2 linked regions of the Styela clava genome follow. The protein of the gene in region 1 interacts with the protein of each later gene in a pairwise test. Links are inferred from orthologs where the notes say so. Each region holds a gene or a part of one and is shown on either strand. Other genes may lie near its edges. The genes, in order: inositol polyphosphate 5-phosphatase K-like and ADP-ribosylation factor-like protein 6-interacting protein 1.

Region 1 (10,640 bases):
ACCAGTAGAAGATAAAAACAATAATGTGCAAATCTCAAGTATTAGTAAATCTTCAACACGTAGTTGTTTTTCATTTTTGAACAAATCCGCAACACTGTCTCTCCGACCCCTATCAAAAGTCATTTTCAAGAAGTGATTACAGACACTTTGAATTTTTGCTGTAATACCATTTTGACGATGCATCCAAGTGTATATACAATATCGTATATGACTTTCTATTATGAATGGTATAATGATAACAGGCACGACTTATTAAGATTTTTATTGATTTTTGAAATAGCTCGAATGCTTTCCTTGTTTTTGATAGTACCAATTGTGAATGATATTTCCATGACAATTTGTCATCGGACAAAACACCCAGGAAACGAATTTGGTTTACTCTTTGAATGCACTTGGACTGCAGAATGAGGTCATCGTTAAGAATGGATAGTTTTTGTCTACTCTAGCTGCATTGAAAATCATGTACTTGGTCTTTTCCGCATTTACTGTTAGTTTGCTAGCAATTAGCCATGACTGAATATTCGTAAGGTCAGCATAAGCTTTTTCAATAATGTCTGGTAAATTTTTACCCTGTAGGAACGGAGTGGTACCATCTGCAAATAGGATAGCATCAACGTCTTCGAGTGATTTAGGGAAGTCATCAATCATAATCAAGAAAAATATAGGCCCCATAAACGATCCTTGAGGGGCCCAATTGTTAAGTCGCAGTATTTACTTAAAGAGTGCCCGTCATAAACTAACACTTGTTTGCGATCGAACAGGTAACTACGGGACCACGAAAAGCAATGACCTCTAACACCTATGTGGTAGAGTTTGGAAAGCAAGATGTTTCAAATTCACCCTTACTTGTAAGTAGGGACGTAGCCTGAGAGGTGGTATGTCCCTTGCGAAAACCAAATTGTTGATGGTAGAAAAAACTCTTTTGTTCTAAAAAGTTAACTAGTCTATTGTACAGGACGTTTTCTGAAATCTTAAAATCGGCGGTAAGCTAATCGGACTATAGTTTTTGACATTTTTCATGTCTCCGCCCTTATGAAGCGGTACTACTTTAGCGATTTTAAATACATCAATAAATTGTCACAATTGCAAGGAAAGATTATAAGTTTCATGGCATTGCTCTGATTTCTGTGGCTGTCACCGGTGACAGAAACATTGAAGAGTTACTAGATTTGTCCATGAAGTTACCGTCATTATCATGAGTAAATTTATCAGCCATTCGCTTCTCTATCGTAGAAAAATGTTCATTGAAACTATCAGCTATCCATACAGGATCACACGTTTCCTTATTTCCTACAACAAATACTTCCGACAGTTTAGATTCAGTGGTTCTATAGAACCGTCTCTCGAAATTTTATGAGATCAGCGAACCGGTTAGCGTGACTGAGTTACTGTCAATGTTCTGTTTGTAACAGAACCGACTGAAAAATAAAACTTTTGTGAAGGAACCGGCTGACAAAAAATTTTAATCTTACCACTGTTTAGATTTGCATCACTCTAGCAAGGTATCCATTGTTTGCCATGATTTTTTCAGATCGTTTTTAGTTTTACTCAAGAGCAATCTGTAGTAAGAATGGTTTTTGGCCAATATCATTTTTCGTACGTTTTCTTGATTTCCTAGAATAGTGCAATTTGTTTATGAGAGTTGATTTGTACAGTTTTTGTTTTTCTTATGAAGTTTTGTTCATTCTTTATCAAACCACTTTTTGTTAGATTTTTTGATCAAAATCTGAGCAAAACAACGATTATAAACTGGCATAACATTGCAAGAATATTTTCTAACGGCATCGTCCGGGTCTGATTCTTCACACACTACAGAGAAATCGATACATTCTAATGACGTACTAAAATTGGTGACCGTACATTTGAACTCACGTACATTTGAACCCATGTGTATATCCGCGGGTTCAATCTATATGCGGGTGCTAAAACCCATGGGTTAGGGTTAGTATGGGTTCGAACGAATATCCGTGAAACAAAAAAAAATTCCATAGGTGCAATAGTATGCAGGTGCAATTGTCATGGGTTCAAATGTAATGGAACCACTAAAATTAGTCATATTGGCCGAATTAAATGATCGAGAAAAACTGTTTTTCTTCGTTTTTAAGTGTTTTTTTTGTCCTATCGGTCACATGGCTATTACAGGTAGTTGATCAGAGATTGCATCGGTTGGAATAGCACTGACAGGTTTTCGATCGTATATGTTTGTCCATATATTATATGATCAAGAATTGTCGCGCTGTTTTCAGTTATTCTGGTCGGTTCGTTTATAGTGGGAGAAAAATAGGTTCATCAACCCAGTCAATTCGTTGACGAAACGGTGCGAGTAGTCCATCAGGTCGTAACTAAGATCACCCATTAGTATACTGTGTCTTGATAGTGAGGACAAAACAGTGTTCATGAGATTAAAAAATCTTTATTTCTCGACTTATCAGACAGTGGGGATAGGTAAACAGTACCACAAGTTACAATTCGGTCTCTGAGATAAACGTCGACAAATAATGATTCGAACGTTTTCTCTTTCATTATGGACAATTCCGGTCTGGTTTTGAAGGTAATACCATCTCTAATATACAAGCCTACTCCACCACACTTAGGGTTTATTCTCGCATTTGAGAAATGAATCTGTAATCACGTAAACTTATATGTGCGCCAACTTGGTCGGGTCTAAGCCAAGTTTCGTTAACCGCAATTTTATCGGGTCGACTAGTCATTGATTCTAACAAAACTTTCAGTTTGGCAAATTTTTTTGGGTTAGAAAGCGAACGCATATTTGCGCACATTGTGAAAAGATAACTGTTTCGCTTTAAGCTTGGACAAATCTCTTCAATATCGTTTGCACTTATATATTGACAATCGCATAGTCCCGAGGCTATTTCATCCTGGTCGTCAATGAGATCAGAGGACAGAGATAGAAAGGTCATTCAAAGATAATGGACCTTTCCCTGAGCATCTTTGTTTACTTCGTGACATTGGCCAATCAGCAAGATGCAAAAAGTGACGTAACAATTCTCCCTTTTTGCATCCGCCCTTATGGCTTGGACATCCCGCTGATTAATTTTATCAGCAAGATGCAAAAAGTGACGTAACAATTCTCCCTATTTGCATCCGCCCTTATGGCGGATTTTTTTTTTCTTTTCATCTTGCTCTCCTCGGCTGCTGCTCTCGCCTGACCTCGCCTTGTCTCCATTATTAAACTCCACACTGACCTCTCCTCAACTGCTCGGCCTTGTCTCCATTTTTACTCCACACTGACCGTTTGGCCATCCCGCTGATCGATTTACTTACTCCTATTTATTTTTCCTGGCTCTCGCCTGAAATCTGCTCGCCTGACCTTTCTCCCCCCCCCCCCCTGAACTGCTCTCGTCTTGATATCTTTCGCCTCGATTTTTTCTTTTGCTGCTGCTCTCGCCTGCCTCTTTCTCCCTCGACCGTCTGCCTTGTTTGATGGTCTACCCCTACAACTCACTCCACCATGTGGGGTTCGAACCACGATCCTAATGTTTGATCATGTCTGAACGCTTCCCCTGAGCTACAGCTGCTGTTGAGAATAGGGTGGATTAAAATCTTACTTGATTAACGACGTCACACTTGACAGCCTGTGACGAGGCTAATCGCCTACAGAATGATGGCGCACAACCTGAAAGTTAATCTGGTACACATACTATGTTAAGGTTGTGCGCCATCTTGGTGCACATATTTCGCGAGCTCCCAATTTACATTTATTCGAATCATGTTCATTCGTACCTCGATTGAAAGCGTTTATCTGAGACTATCGTGTGCGCTGCTTCAACTGTTGAATGCGTGAATATCCCGTTTTAAAACAGTTGTTCATTTTAGTTTAGTTTTTAAGGAAAATGCTAAGATAATTCAAATTAGTGAATGTGCAAACCAAATTTCTGACTGTCAGTGGAGGAATACTAATTTAATCTTTCTGTCTCTTGTGCTAACTAGCCGTCGTATCTCTGGTTTACTTTTCTGAATTTATAAAACATCTCAGATAAAAATTGGCGATGCGTTATGCCCTTTTATAGATTGAAACGATATCGTACACACTAAAAAATGAAAAACACCGTAAATTTTGTCCGAAGAATCCCACGACATGTGAAACATGCTACCCCAGTCATTAAAGATGAAATGTAGCAAATTGCGCGTGTTATGCACCTTTCTATTCATTCTGATACTACGTCGAGGTCACGCGTCATAGTGTAACGGTTAGTAGATGTTTCTACAGTGTATTGAATCAGAAGACTCAGATTCCGGATTTGTGGTTTATTATGGCGACAACTTCGTGTTTAAAACACTTAAAACAGCAAAAAACACAGAATACAGAAAACACGCCCGCCTGCCAGCGCGGCAGCCGGAAAAGAAGAGCGTGAAACTCTTTTTCTAACAACTCGAGGGTGATTGGAGTCTCACAATAACCGGACCCGGATGAAGTATATCCAAATTAAGGGTCCTCGAAAAAGCATATAGGCAAATATAAAAAGACAAACTAAACTAAAACACACGGATAATAAAATCCGTGACAATAGTTCTCATGATTCAGATGAAATTTTTGAAGGCTGTAATCAATGTGAAGGCCGTGGTCAATTAATCTTCCATTGTATTATAAGTGCATTCATTGCGGTCTGTATATTAAAATTTTGGACCTCCTGAAGCATGCGCACCAAGATGTCGCATAACTTGAACCCTAACCTGGTACACAACCTGAGTTCAGGAGGTTTAAAATTTCTGTGGTGCCCCATTTTCCTTTGCTCCCTAAGCACGTGCTTATTTTCCCTAATGGACAAGACAGCACATCTCAATACATATATATATATATGAAATTTATTTGTGAAATTTAGCATCATTTGTGGCTTTTATTTATGGTATATAATATATTATAAAAGGTTTAGCTTTTGAATTGGGTAAAGTAGGTAGCGGTAGTAGGGCTAAAGTGGGGCGCGGCGGTGTGGCTCAACGGGCTAAGCGTTAGGAATACGCTCGCCACCGCACCTCTAACTACTCTGCGTGGGTTCGCAGGTTCGAATCCCATGCAGGAATGGTTATGTGCGAGAGGATTGCTGGATTCCTCGCCGTCGTTGGGTGGTTCACGTAACCGCTGGTCAGTTACGGCTTCCTCCACCACCAAGTCCATGCTCCCGAAAACAAACAATACAGTAAATCTAATCCCATACCCGACTTGGAATGGTAACCGGACGAGAGGCCGTGGTTCGCCATATGGATAAGCCGTCTTATCGGCTTTCCTCTTCCCCGGGATAAATATGTAGATCTTATCCTATCCTATCCTAAAGTAATTTCAACTTACCCATGAACATTAATCGTCAAGTAACAATGTGTTGTTTTATTTTTAAAATTTATTGTGGGCTCCGTGAATAATAATCAACTTCTTCAACGGCTCCGTAACACCAAAAGTTTGAGAAACCCTGGTCTACAGCACCATGGAACACAATAGGGTTCTTTTTCCAATTTCTTGTACTCATTTTGGGATGAACCACTGCATTTCAAATGAATCCAGTGTGAACAGTGGTCGCAAAAAATACTGTAGGCTATTCATTATCTTTTACAATTTTACTACAACCATGGCATGATAGAACATCAGTATTATTTTTTCTGGTCATCAATGCTTTCTAATAGACTATGTAACGGCTGTACTACAATCCAAATTGCCGAAAGATAGTCGTTGGGCTTCAGTCAACAAGATGCGGCGTCGTTCGGGAAGAGATTCGGTGATGGAAAGGCGGGTTCCGCGGAGTCCTTTTGGGGCAGAATAAATTTGGCATTTAACGCTTCGACGTACAAATTTGACAATGATCGGTGATTTCCTTTCGAGTCCTTTGGTAAGACGTGTGTCGTATCGATGTGCCCGAATTGAACAGGATACTTGTGTATCAAACGTGTGTTCAGAGTCCTCGCCACAAACATTGCAAACCTTTGATATGGTTTGGACGTTCCTATGTAAATTTAGTTATTTGGTTTTTATTATGTAATGGTGCAAGTGTTTTTAAAATGTACAAACTCAAACAGAATTTATATTCACACCGAGCTGGTGTGAAGAGTTTTGGAATAAGCTAAATCGGAATATAACGAAAAAATCTGGAGGAAGTCTATCAAGTTGACAGTTGCACGGCTGAATAAGTCTCGTACAGCTGGCTGGCTGGCGAACGCTTTGTTTACATTTTGCGGTTTCGCAATTTCTGCAAGGACTTGGGTTCGACGATTTGTTCTGTTGTTCGCTATTTTCTCTGATTTCAGAATTGATTAAAACAGTTTTTGTTTTAATTGCAACGAAAAAAAGTAAAAACGTCGAGTTTTTGGGTTGCGATTTTGGTTGTGTTGCTGGCTGCCTTCGGTGCTATCCACTGGTCAACAGACAAGGAAGTGGAAGAGAACGTTAATGGAATAATGGCGGATCAGTTTAAGAAATTCAGGTAGGTTTTTTTATATGACTGATTATAAGATCTTACCATGAGTCCCGTACCGTACTTGTCAGAACTGGTGTAGACTATTAACGACATTGATTCATTTATAATGAAGGTGTAGAATGTCAGAATTAGATAGATAGTTTACTTTGAAAACTCCACAATCTGACAATGGTACAAACAAATAAAGAATGGAGAATTCTGGAGTGCGAGCAAAACCTTTAAAAAAGTTTAAAACAAGATTCGTATCATTTGCCCGCTCACCAACAGCATTCACAAATAAAAAACTCAAACTTTGTTAAACAAGGCTTGGGCCAGAAATAAATACAAAAATACACAAAAAATATGTGAATGTAATAAACTTTCTGGCTGTTGTTTACTTTTAAAATACTCAAGCTAAGAATTCTTATATAAATCACAGGAAACTCAGAAACTAGAAAAGGGAAGCCAAAAAATGCTGAAATGGTTAATAACAGAACAGCAAAATATTGGTTCCATTACATTTGAACCTACGTACTATTGCACCTATAGAAAAAAATTTTGTTTTACGAATATTTGAACCCATACTAACCCTAACCCATGGATTTTAGCACCCACATATAGATTGAACCCGCGGATATACACATGGGTTCAAATGGGTTCAACCCAAAATATTATATCATTTAAATTTTAATTACCTATTCCTCGATCTCGGTTAACTCAACTCAAAACTGCTCCTTGTATTTAATTAATTGTCCATTTCGTCATATACAGATATTATTACTATATTAGCCTATATCTTTACATGGCATTGATTATAACACTGCCGGACACAGGCTTGTATAATTTTGTAAGGGGAACATGCGGATATATTAAAAACTGATCTTATCAGAATTATTGCACTGTTGTATTAATTGTTAAACATCAGGTTTACGCATCCCGAAAAATTTTATTTTAATCTATTTCCATTGTGGCTGTGATATGCCATATCATTAAGCTGTCTTATTAGCTTTCCCGTTCTCCCAATATAATAATGAAAATACAAAAATAATAGTCTACTATCTGCAGTAAACTGATAGATGTCTTATGTACTTTCTTTCATGGGAGAAATAAATAAATCCTGCATATTATCTAATTCCCAGCACAGGGAGGCTATCTCTATTCTCTATCATAAAGATAGTTATTTTCACCTTGTTAAATATATTCCAGAATATTCGTCAGCACATGGAACGTAGGGGAAGCTGATCCATTGGATGAGAAAGATATTGAAAAATTATTGAAATCAAATGTTGAAGTTGATTTCTATGCCATCGGGTGAATAGCTGTTATGTTTTTAGTTTCATAACAAGGTTTTCATGTTATTGCAGGAACCTTTTTACTAGCAATACCTGTCTAAAATATAAGGTCCTAGTAGTTTTTTTTAGTTGTGATGTGCTGTTACGACTTTTGCTTTGAATAACTTTCTGTTCAAGCCCTCGGTAAGGTGATGAAGGTGAGTAGGGAGTACCCAGTTGGGGTTTCTGCAGGTTGTGACCCCTGCATTTAAAATGTGAAAAAAGGATTTTTCTATATTAACTTCAGAAGGGAAAAAGCGCCAGGGTGTTCAAAAGTTTGGTTGTGGTAAATTATCTCACATGTTTTAGGGAAATAATAAAAATTTAAAATTATATCAATATTTTTTCCAGGTTTCAAGAAATCAAAACTGGGGCGAAAGAAACTGCGAAAAGTTTCATCAAATACGATGACTGGGCTCAAGCTGTCATGGAATTTCTGTCAAAGAAAAGTTTCTATTTGGTAATATAGATTTTTAAAATTTACCCTAGGGAGAGAAGAGCTGTTAAAAGTGAACAACAAACTAATTCAGACTCTGATGAACCCAAAAGGTCATATCGTTGCAACTCAGTCACACACCAAAGCATCTGTCTATTTATTATTTATAAATGTTTGCATATATTGTGTGTTTTATGGTTTGGCAAATGAAATAAACTCTCTTCCTCTCTCTGAAAAGGAAGGGTTAATTTATGGGGAACCATGGTCCCTGATTCAATTGCCAAACCCATGCATGGTAATCAGTAGATTGATGGCGAGCTCATTCTCCTCCACGGATATCCAAGACAGATAGAAAATTAAATGCATTCAATAGTGGTTATATTTGATATTGTAAATATTTCATTTTAGATATAAGGTAGATTAGAATAATTTATTTTGAAATTTATCATTTTGACAATTTGATATCGGACATCAGAGAAAAGTAAAAGTTAGGCCAACTTCTAACGGTGTTGAATAAAGTTGTAAGTCAAAATAACATCTACCGGTATCTCAATAAACATCAGACAAAAAAAAAGAATTGACTTAACTTCTGACTTTGTAAAATGAAAAATCAATCAAAACAATATTTATCTTAACTACTCAATTATAAAATTTAGATTTAATGATGTTGCAATGATTAATAAAACAAATTTTGTTGTTGAACATTACTCATTATGAAATTAATCATTATTGCATAATCAAGAATATACAGGGCAGTCGCTAGAAATACAGAAAATTAGTCAAACATTTTGTCAGTCCCCAAGGCGGATTTTCACATTTGAAAAGAAATATCATTTTCTTTTTTAAGTCAACTTGTTTCTGCCTTCTTCCTTGATGTTGGTGTCAAAATAAAATAAAATAGAAGTTAAAACAACTTAGAACCTAAAATAAATGAAAACATATCGAAAAATAAATAAGCATGCATTTTATTCGTTATCATATTGAAGTTTTGTGAAACAAGCTTCACTTTTTTTTGACAGATTGAAAGTGTGAGAGTTCAAGGGATTTCACTGAGTGTTTTCGCATCAATCAAGCATCTGCCGTATGTTCAATTTGTTAAGACAGAAATTGAAAGAACAGGAGTTGCTGGTGCATGGGTGAGTCTTTATATATATCAGTTTTGTGTGAATGTGGGTGTGGCATGGGCGTTTCTTTTTTATATACCATTTCCACTCAAACCAGTGTCAACCAGCCACTTTTTCATGGTGATCACTCTTGGGGCAGTGTGTCTCATGTAGCATATCATATTTAAATTATAGTAGTGTAATCACAGATCCCAGGTCTCAACAAGTCTTTGTCCAAAAAGTGTTTAATCAAAAATATGATTAATTGGGTGGGCGATGCTGAACAGGAAAGGTCCATTTACTTTTATAATAGGCTATGTATCTTTTTACATTTTCTATATACTTTTACAGTACTTTTAACATTTTGAAGATTGGAAAAAAGTTCTATATTCTTTAATTCTTTTGTTGAAATAAAATTCTCACAAATAGTGAAATACATCAACAATCATGTTTTTACTTCTTTGCATTCAATATACGTCTGATTGTTTCGTCATTATCACAGTTTACGCACTTGTATATTCGTCACAATTCAATTATACGGCTATCTTAATCATTCGTACAGGTACCAGTATCCGTCCTTGTGGGCGCTCCTCTTTCCCAGCCCGCAAAATATCTTTTAGTTTCTAATTTGGGCCTCTGGTGGCCCAGTCACTCAACTTTAGGAAGCTCTGTTTTAGAAGGAGGAACTCTCAGACAAATAGTTCAAGCACCATTAATAATGCAGTTAAAAGCAAGCATGTCTTCATTGCCAAGAGATTAGAATGGTGATGAAGAATAATTTTGCCAGTTTTAAAATGAATTTTTCATTAAGTAACTCTCAAAGCAAGGTCATTAATATTCATTTTAAAGAGTGTTGGGTTTATTTTATAGTTTCTGACAAGTTACAAGATTCGGGACATAATTTTAGTTCTATTACATTTTCGGGGGCTGTGTGTGTTAGCCAATTAAATATATTGGTATACACACTTTTGAGTACTTCGGAAGTATGTGCACTAAAATGGCGCACAATTGGAACCCTAACCTCATACACAAACTATGTTCACGTTGTGCGCTATCTTGGTGCACATACTTTGGGAGCACCCACTTCTGATGCACCCATGATATAGTACCTAGTCTCTAACGAGTTGGAAGATTCTACTATTTACAAAATTTCCTCTACACTCTGTTGGGTAGTCTGTTACGCAGCTTCTTTACAGATCACCAACTTTGTATAAATCCAATGTTTACAAATGAAGCATAGCACATTTAACCTAATGTAAGTCTGTTAACACATTACACAACCAAATACTTCAATGAGTTGAATAGAAAATAACACAAACATGTTTCTGACAAAATGGGAGAAATGGCATAACCCAATACGCTCTAA
Region 2 (10,416 bases), on another chromosome or scaffold:
TATGAAAAACTCAAAACCGCCAAAAATGACTTACGCGATTTTCGTTCACTAGGTGGCATATGACTGGCTGAGCTATGACTTCGACTCCTCATGCTCATACTAAAGTGACTATAAACTACTACCTTATCGTTAACTTGTTTTGTGTTCTTTCCATTGTGGATGTATTATTTTTTCGTTTTTCTTATTTTTTTCTATTCAAATGTTCATTTTTCGGGAATGGGATCTAATCAAATTTGGATGGGGAGGTAATTAAATTCGATCGATTGGCAAAAAATAACTTGTTTGAAAATAATGATTGGCCTATAAATACAAATATAACGTTATAGTCTACCTACTCCACAAATATTTATTTATGGAAATTTATTCACTACAGTGGTGCTGTAGTGACTGCCGACCTGTAGGTACACTATTTTGTTGTGGGTTGGCCTAGGCTGCCGCTACCTAGAGTTTGGTCCCTACGTTTTTAACTTTTTCCTGAACAGAATTCTCGTCGTCCAGGTATTTCTGCATTTTCTTGTTGTTTTGTTTCCTTGGCAGCCCCTGTACCGGTATCAGGAACAATGTACTTGTTTCAGTATTTAACTATTAACTTACTGGACTGAGTTTTGGTTTTGCCACATGATTAAGGGGTTGCAGTTCCTACCACTTTATGGCAGCTCCTGCCACGAACAAAGGCGTCTCTTGCCATGGTTTTATGGTGCTATTCAGTAATCAGTACAGTAGTAATACCGGTATATTTACAAATTCATGTACCAGATTTTAGTTTATTATGCAGAATTATATCTACCCAAACCTGAAACGTACGTTAACCCCAAAACTGTATCCATATGATAGAGATACTGATAAGTGATAACCAAAAAAATAGAACTGTTTCAAATTTAATAGAATTCAACATAGGGCAACAATCAACTGTATATTATGGTTTGTCTGTAAATAATAGTGTCAAACATAGTTTACAACCTCATAAGATTTATAAACTCATTATAGAATTTATGAAAATGCATAAAATTACTTTACTAGAAGCTAGGCAAGAATATCATAGAGTATTGTATAACAAAATAATCAACTCACTAAAGAGTGAAAGAATGGTATTTCTTTGCAGAAGTAATATTGAAAAACCATGTTCAAATACTCACAATGACATTTTAGCAAATTATGTGAAAAGTTTCAATTATAAATTAATGTGGAATATTTTGCCACTCAAATGTGTATCTAGAATTAGATTTATTGCTTGAAATGACTTGTGTGTTATGTGTGATATAGAAACAGAATTAGTATCACATTTGTTTATGAATTGTCCGTTTGTAAAACAAGTATATGATTATGTTTTTTTGATTATAATGAAAATAACTGGCAGAAACAATTCAATTGATTATGAAACTTGTGTATTATTAGATTTGAGTAACCATTATTATGAACATTTATCAATTGTAGAAAAAAATGCTATTATTTTGTTATTGTCTATTACTAGGTATAAGATTTGGTTGCATCGAAATGCAGTAATTTTTCAAAATGTTATGCCAAGTGGTAATAGTGTAATAAACAAAGTTAAAAATGCTTTAAAATGTAGAAATAAAGTAGAGAAACTTAAAAACTCACCCAATTTCACAAGAGAGCTAACATTATTATGTAACTGTGTATGAAGAGTATTATCTACAAAGTATATATACAAATGTCTATATAAGTGTATTTAATTAGTAGATAAATAACAATTGGAAAAACTTGTTTTTACATGATTTTACAAAAAAACTCTATCCATAAGAAAGATATTCCAACTTACCCAATATTTGTCATCATCAGGGGCAGCCTTGCCATTACAGCTGACATGCCTTGGTTACGGCGGCAAAATTTTATCCGCCGTTGATTTTCAATTTGCTGCCGTGGTACCGGCATCTTACCATTGGTTTGTGGCAGCTAAAAAGTCAGTTGCCGCAATTTGGCCCTAGCGGCCATTGTTTCAGAAGTCCCGCCATGGTTTTGCGGCAGCTTCAGACTCCACAAAATACCTAAAACTGCACTTGTAATTAGGTTGTCTATATTCGGTTTTACTGAATTATTATGAAAAATCTTGCTCTTGTGTCCCATTGAAATGGGGTAATTCATATGTTCAAAATAAAAAAAAATTACACAGATTTTCTGCTAACTTACTGGGTTTCATTGAATCCTTTATATCAATTTTTACGAAAAATTTGCCCAGTACTGCAGTACCAGTGATATCTCCTGTGCCTCAAAGTCAAATTGCCTCGCATCTCTTGGTTTAGGGACTTCTACCCTGCCCAACAGCATCAGACCATATGTAGTGATACCTCGAGAGTCGAATAACTCAATACTGGAACAATTCGGTGGTCGACCAAAACATTAGTAGTGCCAGTGGACTACCGACAATGCGATTAATGCAAAAGCGTCTCCGCCACAGCAATTTGAATGATGTCATAAAACTCATAACACACAAAAAAACGAATTTCATAGAGCAGTGCTTCCCAAACTGTGGGTAGCGACCCCGCCTAATTTCTGTCAAAAATGTGCACACAAGTGAATATAGGATTTGGAATGGTCGGCAGGTACCGTGAAAGTATCTAACTTCGGATTTTTCATGCGGTACCTAACCTTTTCAGATGGTCGGCAGGTACCATATTAGTGAATGTAATTGAATGACAGTGTTACGACAACTTACGAGCGCTAATAATATTCTCCTTTTTGATCATGTTACATCCGAATGAGTAGTGGACCCTCTGGTTCGCGAATCAGATTTTTTGCCAGACTGCAAGAAATTATGTTGGTTTCGAATATACGAAGCAAAGTTGCTTTCTTAGGTGTTTGACAAGTATGGTATTGATTGCCAGGCGGGTAATTACATTTCAGGTTTTGATCAGTTGCGAAAGCGCTTTGTTAATTCGCGCATGTGTCTAAAATCGACCAGTGGGCTACGTGTTTTGTCCACATCGCCTTCACATAAAAGTGAACATTTTGTATTGCAATATTACATATTTAGACGTTTAATACGTAATTTCAAAGCGTTCCGAGAACTCAAAAACCACAAGTTCTAGCATAATAAAAGGCACTCAAAAGATTTGATTCCTTACACGTTTTTTCCTATTTTACTTTCATGCTCTGTTTTATTTTTAAAATAATAATGGAGCAATCTGTAATATGTTTATATAGAACAAGACACTTTTGAAATATACTAAATAAGATTCTAAATTCATGTATATTTAGAAGCAATCATACTATTTCCTACTAAGTATCATACGCTTCTTTACAATCTACGACATTTTATCAAGTTTGTCAATGTTTCGCCAAAGAACCGTTATAATTATGATCTGAGAGATTTTTACATCATAGTTTTCATACGATTTCATGTGGTATCAAATCTTTTGGGGTTTTCTAGCGCGTTACCGGACTCGTTCATATATATTTTTAGCTAATATTTATCGTAAACATCCACTTGCAGTCGATATACAGGTACATTGTTCCCATTGAGGTCATTTTGAAGTTGCTCAACGTTTCAAGTTGTGGGGTCGCGAGTATCTGTAGGCTTTGGTTTTTCATGAAAATTGGGGTCGCGAAAAAAAAAGGTTTGTGAACCACTGCCATAGCTCAAAAAAATTTGTTTTAACCTACAGTAAAATAGTTTATATCTCAATTATATACATATTTAAATAATTGTTGTTGTTCAGGTACACATTTTGATTATAATTGAATGCATAAGAACGAATAAAATAATTACCTTTGTTTCATTATGGCAAAAAAGGTTTCGATACTCGAACAAATCAGTAGTCTAACATCAGTCCTGAACAGATTATGTTAACTACCATCACTGTATTGCACTTGTTATTGTTTTTCATTCACATTGGTTTGCCGCAAAAGCTTTGCATAGTATGTAAGCTGGCTTATTGCCAACCTCTGAGCAGGGATGGCCAATTCGAATAAAGTATTCGAATGTATTCGAATATCTCGTCATTCGAATATCGGAATTCACGTTCATAAGAATATCGGATATTTGTGTGACGTCACACATTTTCGACGCCGCTTTCAAGATGTTTCCGTTGAATGAAAACATTCTCGATAGAAAACTTGCGCGTGATTGTTTTCATCACTCATCAGCGTAACGTGTTATTTAGGCCCGTAAACGCCTTTACGATTGTGTTATTTTCTCTAATTTGTTCCACGATAACGATAACATTTATTTTATTTTTGTATTATACGCACGGAATTGTGAATCTGGTAAATACGTTCATCGGCGGCGAGTTTCTAAAGACAACGCAACTTTTTGATTGAAAAGCGGCAATTTAAAATACTGAAAATAAAACCGTAAACAACATAAGTTTTATTGAGGCCCGCGAAAATTTAAAAAACGCTTTTCTAGGCAGTGAAAATCGCAAAATTTCGTGTGCCTCTGGCACACATTATGTTTGGTCGGCGTTTAGAAACATATCGTCACTAATTGAGGGCGGGATTTGCCTGATTATCCATTTAAATTGTCGTCGAATATTTTCGTGTTAACACGATACAAGGTTTGAAACGCGACTTTTTCCCTGGTTGTGAGGATGTATATAATATAATTAATCTAAAGTATATTCAATCAATTTTATTGTGATGAAATAAATTTTACTCTGAGATATTTTACTCTGAGCATTTCGATCGAGCGGAGTCACTGTTAACAAGTACATCTGAATATTTGCCGAATTCGCAAAATACGGATAAAAACAATACTTAATCGGACAGTTTACCTCACGTTTTTATTTTTATGGCCGTGGTTTGCAACGGTATATAAGAGTGGTGAGGATTTTATTTTGTCGACGCAACCGCAGGATAAATTGAAGACAATTAAATTAATAAGAGCAAGACATTTTAAATATGCCGTGTCGGTCACGAATTCATCACTTTGCACAACAGAAAAATATATATTCGTTGTTATATTATTTGTTGTAAACGTCGACTCTTTTAACAGGTGGCATAATCGCGGCGACGGTATATTGTATGTATATTCATTGTATGAAATGAATTACTCTCTACACTTAACATGATTTTATATAAATATTTGAGATTTTTCTAACGGCGATAACGAGTTGGCAAGATTGCAAAAATACATATTAGAATTAAATACATCAGGCAGTTTATCTCGTACTTTTCGGTCACAGATTGCGGTGGACCGAATAGTAATGTTTTTTTTTTGACGTAAGAAGAAGCAACCGCGAGTTATGTTGGACACATTAAATTAATATATAAAGATATTTTAGAATCTCGTAGTTGTCATGGATTGAATATTTTACGTAACAGAATGATCAGTATACGCTGACAAGTCGGCTCTTTTAACGAGTGCGAGATCGCGGTGGGTGTTACAGGCGGCAATGGGAATTTCCGATTTCAAAAATCCTGGCTGCGCGCTGGCAGTGCTGGTCATCTATTCTCTACTAATTTATTTGTAACTCCAAACACAACAATATGTTACACATAATAACAATATGGTTCACATAAATTTATATACAAATATACTGGTAGGTAGTAGAATACTCAAGGCTTAAATATTAGAATTTTTAAAGGCATGATGGATTTTCGATTGTTGTTGCCTGTATTGCCAATAAATTTAAAAACTCTCAGAAAATATACACAATTATCTGAATACAAGTAGTATTTTTTGTCAATAGACTCGACTATTATCGTAATATCTTGATACCAATGATAGAAAGCGTCAGACAACTCCTTGGCTATCTTTTCATATGGTCATTTGTACAAAGTGAATAATTTTAATAAACTGACTGTCACAAGTTGCTATTATTTTTTATTAATAGCTATAAACTATCAATTACTTTGTGTACATATACTGTTGGTCTGTGGCTTCATTCTGATATTTCTATTGATGCTTATTTCCTAATTTACTGGGTTTTAATCAACTAAAACAAAAATGTGTTATTTTCGATTTTAGAATGTATTCGGAATTCCAGATTCGAAAACATTATTTTAGAATGTATTCGGAATAGTTTAGTATTCGGAAATGGCCATCCCTGCCTCTGAGGCAATATTTTGATTGTTTTTTGCATTATTGCAGTGATTAAATTACATAATTGCTTAGCTTGCATCAAATATGGAAAATCCTGTTGAATCTGGAGATTTTTTGCCACCAATTATGCAGGTACATGCAATTCTTTTCTGTTCACATATTTATAAAGATATTTGAATGCCATTTCAAACTCGGATATTACTGTTAAGTAATTTTGTTATTCCACTCAAGCCAAGTTCTATAATTAGCACGGCAGTATGGTTTGGCTGCTGGTATTTATTTAACCATCCTAACAAACCTTTTTTTTGCCTGATTAAAGGTATATCTATGTAAATGTCTATTCGGTCCAAGAATGTTGTTCGTGCACTTGAGATGTGTTTTTGACATGGCCACATTTTCTACACCCTTTACCACCATTTCAGTAGTTAACGGGATTTTTAATTAAAACGGTATCAAGTATTTTATGTTTAGCATTTTATTCAACAAAACTGTTGAAAAGTGTTTTCAAACATGCCATTGACACATTAAACTTTTGGTTGATGTTTAGGGATCAAGCAGTGGGGGAACTTTGAAGGGGAGTTTGAAAGGATGGAGAGAAGTAATTGTTGTTCTTGCTAAACTTCTGAAGTGGCAACAAGCATACTACGCAGCTATTGTTTTTGCGATTGTCTCATTATTTTTTTCGTAAGTTGAACCTGTTTTCAAAATGTATCATTGTCAAGAGAATTTGTTTATAGTTAACATCATAGTAAAAAGTATGTATAAGTTTTGGTCTTACCCAAATAACTCATGAACAGTTTCGGACGATCAGTAACTGTATTTTGACACCAATAAATTTGGGTTGAGTCTATTGCACAACTGGAACACAAGTGAAAAGCAATTGATAGACTTTATTATTATATGTATAAATAATTTCCATTTGCAAAGAAATAACATAAATATTGTTACAGTCAAATTAGAATTTACTTTGTTCTAAATAATCTGTTTCGTTTGAATCCGTCTGGTTTCTTTTAACTCTTGGTTCAATAAAATTGATTGGACTCCAGCTCTGAAGTCAGACTCAAAAGTAAAACCAAATTTTGATTAAAGCTTTTAGTTCCATCGATACAGAGTAAAATTTTCAATTTTCTATTCTATTTAGGTTAATTTGGTGGTTGGACCCATCTGTGGTTACTGGATTCTCAATGTTGATCATGATTGCATGTATCGCTGACTATGTTGTGCCACTCGCAATGCCTATGATTTTTCCAGAAACAAGCTGGTATGTTGCGTCTGTTTTGTTATTTTCAGTTTCGTACATTAGCGCACTGCTCTCTATGTTATTGGATCTGTGAGTTTTTTTTCATCCAGATTTATTATCTGGACAAAATTTAACACCCTTTGTTGGTGATCGAACACTTTTGTGTCGTTAATGTATTTCTCTGCATTTTTATGAATGTTTGATCAGATCACAGTAAAAGCGATACCTGCATTAACCACTGTCAACAAATGACCTCTCTCAGACAGTTAAGATGTCTGTTCATCGAGTGCACGCATTGTGAACAATCAATACTGTGTTGTCGCATATTATATATTATTATGCAATTAATTTTGTATTTGCATTTTGGAAGGTCAATTCTTTGCCATAAAGTAACTTTCACTTATGTATGATGTTCTTACCTTTATGATTAGGCGATTTTAGTGATCTGGACTGAATAAAACACTGGTTAATGTCTAGAGTTTTCATTTTTTAACAAGCTTGGGCCATCCATAAAATGCTGCCATTGCATAATACAGCTAAAATTTATATGTTGCATCACCATTTCCTTCCTGTGCACTCACGTCATGACTTTATTGTGTGTGACTGTCTATGCAATGAAGCGTTTCGCATGCAAAATTCCCAAAACAGCTAGTCTGTAGATTGCAACAAAAAAGCTAATGGTGCTAAATAATTTAAATTTTTGTCTGTAATATATTCCATTCAGAACTCCTGGCTATTACAGAATTTCTATTAATTGATAGATCAAGCTTTGTTTCATTATTATTCAGGCATGCTCACAGAATATTTCTATTTACCGTATGTTATTTATGTATATTATGGTTTTTTGAAAATTTAGGTGTTATTTTGTCGGAAATTGTTTATAGACTACTATATAAATTGATGTAAAATACATTTAGTCAAAATAATTTCAGTAGAAAATTTCAAAAGTAATATAAGACTTAAACATATACACACATAATCCACAGGCAAAGCTCACTAATATAGATTCGTGAAAAGGTTATGACATTGATATATTTTATATAATTTTTATATGCTGAATAGATTTCCAAATATATATGTGAATTTGAGTTCTAATATTTTCAATAAAACTTTATATCATGATACATTGCAGGAGTAGCGATAAAGAGAAACAATACGTACAAGCCTGTGATGGACTGGTACAGTCAAAGAAGATTATTTCCAGTTTGTTCTCCAATGCCGGAAAACTGAAGGATAAGAATCCATGGTTGTACATGGCTGCGATCACCGTATCACTCAGTACATTAGCATGGCTTGGAAATCAAATGCATAACCTGCTGCTTGCCTATTTCTTCGGTAAGAATTGCCATTTTCTAACTCTCAACTTATCACGGAAACAAAGTTGCTGCAAGACATTGGAGTTCCCTAATAATGGTATTTTAAAATTATATTTGCCACCAATCAGGTATACTGACTGAAGTCCATATAATAAAAAAGCAGTTCAAAGATAGAAACCCTGAATCATTAAGGTCATTAAAATGACCTGACACAAAAATTAGGGTCCTCTCATAGTATATACCAGGTTAGGGTTAGGCCATAATTTTATCCCGATTTTCCTAAAGCTTTTCGGTTGAACTGAGAATATTTTAGTTCTATAACGAGTTCTGGGACTGTCTGTGTTAATCAAGTGCCCCCTGCCCATAGGTTTCAGTCCCTTCATCCAACTTGATGTAAAGTAGGCAACAAAATTGGTTACCTCCATATTGGTACATACACTTCTGGAGCACCATTTTTTGCTATGTTCTATATTCTCGATTAAATAGGTATTTTATGTCCAAATTATGTGTATTTACAGTTTTGATTGTATCTGCTTTGCCTGGCCTCAGTGAGCATGGAATTCTGGACAAGATTGCAACACATGTGAAAAAAGTTATCAACAAGCAAAAGTCTCAGTAATCATAATCTGTTTGTTCATTTGACTATTTAATGTCCCGTGTAATCGTATTCATAATTTTAGGAATATAAGCATTTTCTTGTAATGTCCAATTATTATTTTCGGAACCTGAAATCGAAAAGCAATCTTTAAGCATACAGCATTTGTGGACTTGTTGATAGTCAACTTATAATTGTCATGTCAATCTATTTTGTCAAATTATACTTCATTGGCATAAAGCCGTTTAATAGGTAGTATTAATTATATGTAGTGCTGTATTACGCTTTGAAGTTTGAAATTTTCTTGCACATATCAGATGAAATAGCTGCGAATTTTCTAGACATGAGTGGAATATGGAGTGTGATGTTTAATCTGGTCCTGTTATTTTTTGAAATAGAAGGGTCTGCTAAGCAACTTGCTATTACATTCCTCACGAGATTATTTTAATTCTTTTTTTGCTGCATGGTTTCTTCATATGATCCATAAAGCATCCAGTCTACTCACATTATGATGTAGAAACTGTTTGTAGGATTTTGTATACATTATTGTGATATTTTGTTTCTCATGATTTTTTGTTATATAGGGTATTATTAGATGTATGTGTGCATGTGTGATTTCGTTGTTTTTCGACTGTACTGCCAACATATTTTAAGTTGTGAATAAACACATTGTGGTCACCAGCTATTGAAGTCGCCTTTGAAAGAATGGAGTTGTGATCAAAGTTTTCCCGTTTCACTTTGTGAAGACTTACTTTAATTGGGCCATTTATTCACTACTCGACATTCCTATCACCTGGGTAAAATTTTAGCGCATTTGAAAGTGGAGAAATTTGTTAATAAGATTGAAAAAATAAAAAAAATAATCCCTGTGAAGCGACGAAAGAACTGCAAATAAAAATTGAACCGTATAGGCAAGCCTTATAAAACTAATAATAACTTTGTCATTCATGGTGGTCTATAGCCGAGCGTGAATTTGTTGTGAGATGGAAAATACAAACGTATTTGGATCCACAGGGCTCCAATTATCTTGGGGTGGTCAACCAGGTTAGTAGTTCAATTAAAAACTCTTACGCAAGCACACATACGTAATAATTCAATTCGTTTATTACACCAGACCCTTATGGTCCATACCAAATAACACAGATCCAAAAATAGCGCAGTAAATCTAGATATCACAGTAAAAAACCATAATAACAGCTAATATGAATTAAATTCGCAGTAAAATACCGCAAACAACAGCTAATATGAATTAAAATAACAGTTA

What was found.
Region 2: the proteins of inositol polyphosphate 5-phosphatase K-like (region 1) and ADP-ribosylation factor-like protein 6-interacting protein 1 interact in binary tests that used the Homo sapiens proteins (3 or more experiments, as listed by UniProt). The link is inferred for Styela clava from reciprocal best matches to the Homo sapiens genes INPP5K and ARL6IP1.

What each region holds. Positions count from the first base shown.
Region 1 is NC_135252.1:22,906,186-22,916,825, reverse strand, and holds the start of inositol polyphosphate 5-phosphatase K-like, read left to right. Parts: upstream 1-5,966; 5' UTR 5,967-6,405; coding exon 6,406-6,431; intron 6,432-7,610; coding exon 7,611-7,715; intron 7,716-8,086; coding exon 8,087-8,195; intron 8,196-9,190; coding exon 9,191-9,307; intron 9,308-10,640. UniProt on the Homo sapiens protein: Inositol 5-phosphatase which acts on inositol 1,4,5-trisphosphate, inositol 1,3,4,5-tetrakisphosphate, phosphatidylinositol 4,5-bisphosphate and phosphatidylinositol 3,4,5-trisphosphate.
Region 2 is NC_135263.1:19,671,016-19,681,431, reverse strand, and holds ADP-ribosylation factor-like protein 6-interacting protein 1, read left to right. Parts: upstream 1-6,047; 5' UTR 6,048-6,085; coding exon 6,086-6,133; intron 6,134-6,548; coding exon 6,549-6,685; intron 6,686-7,142; coding exon 7,143-7,262; intron 7,263-8,373; coding exon 8,374-8,576; intron 8,577-9,075; coding exon 9,076-9,176; 3' UTR 9,177-9,837; downstream 9,838-10,416. UniProt on the Homo sapiens protein: Positively regulates SLC1A1/EAAC1-mediated glutamate transport by increasing its affinity for glutamate in a PKC activity-dependent manner.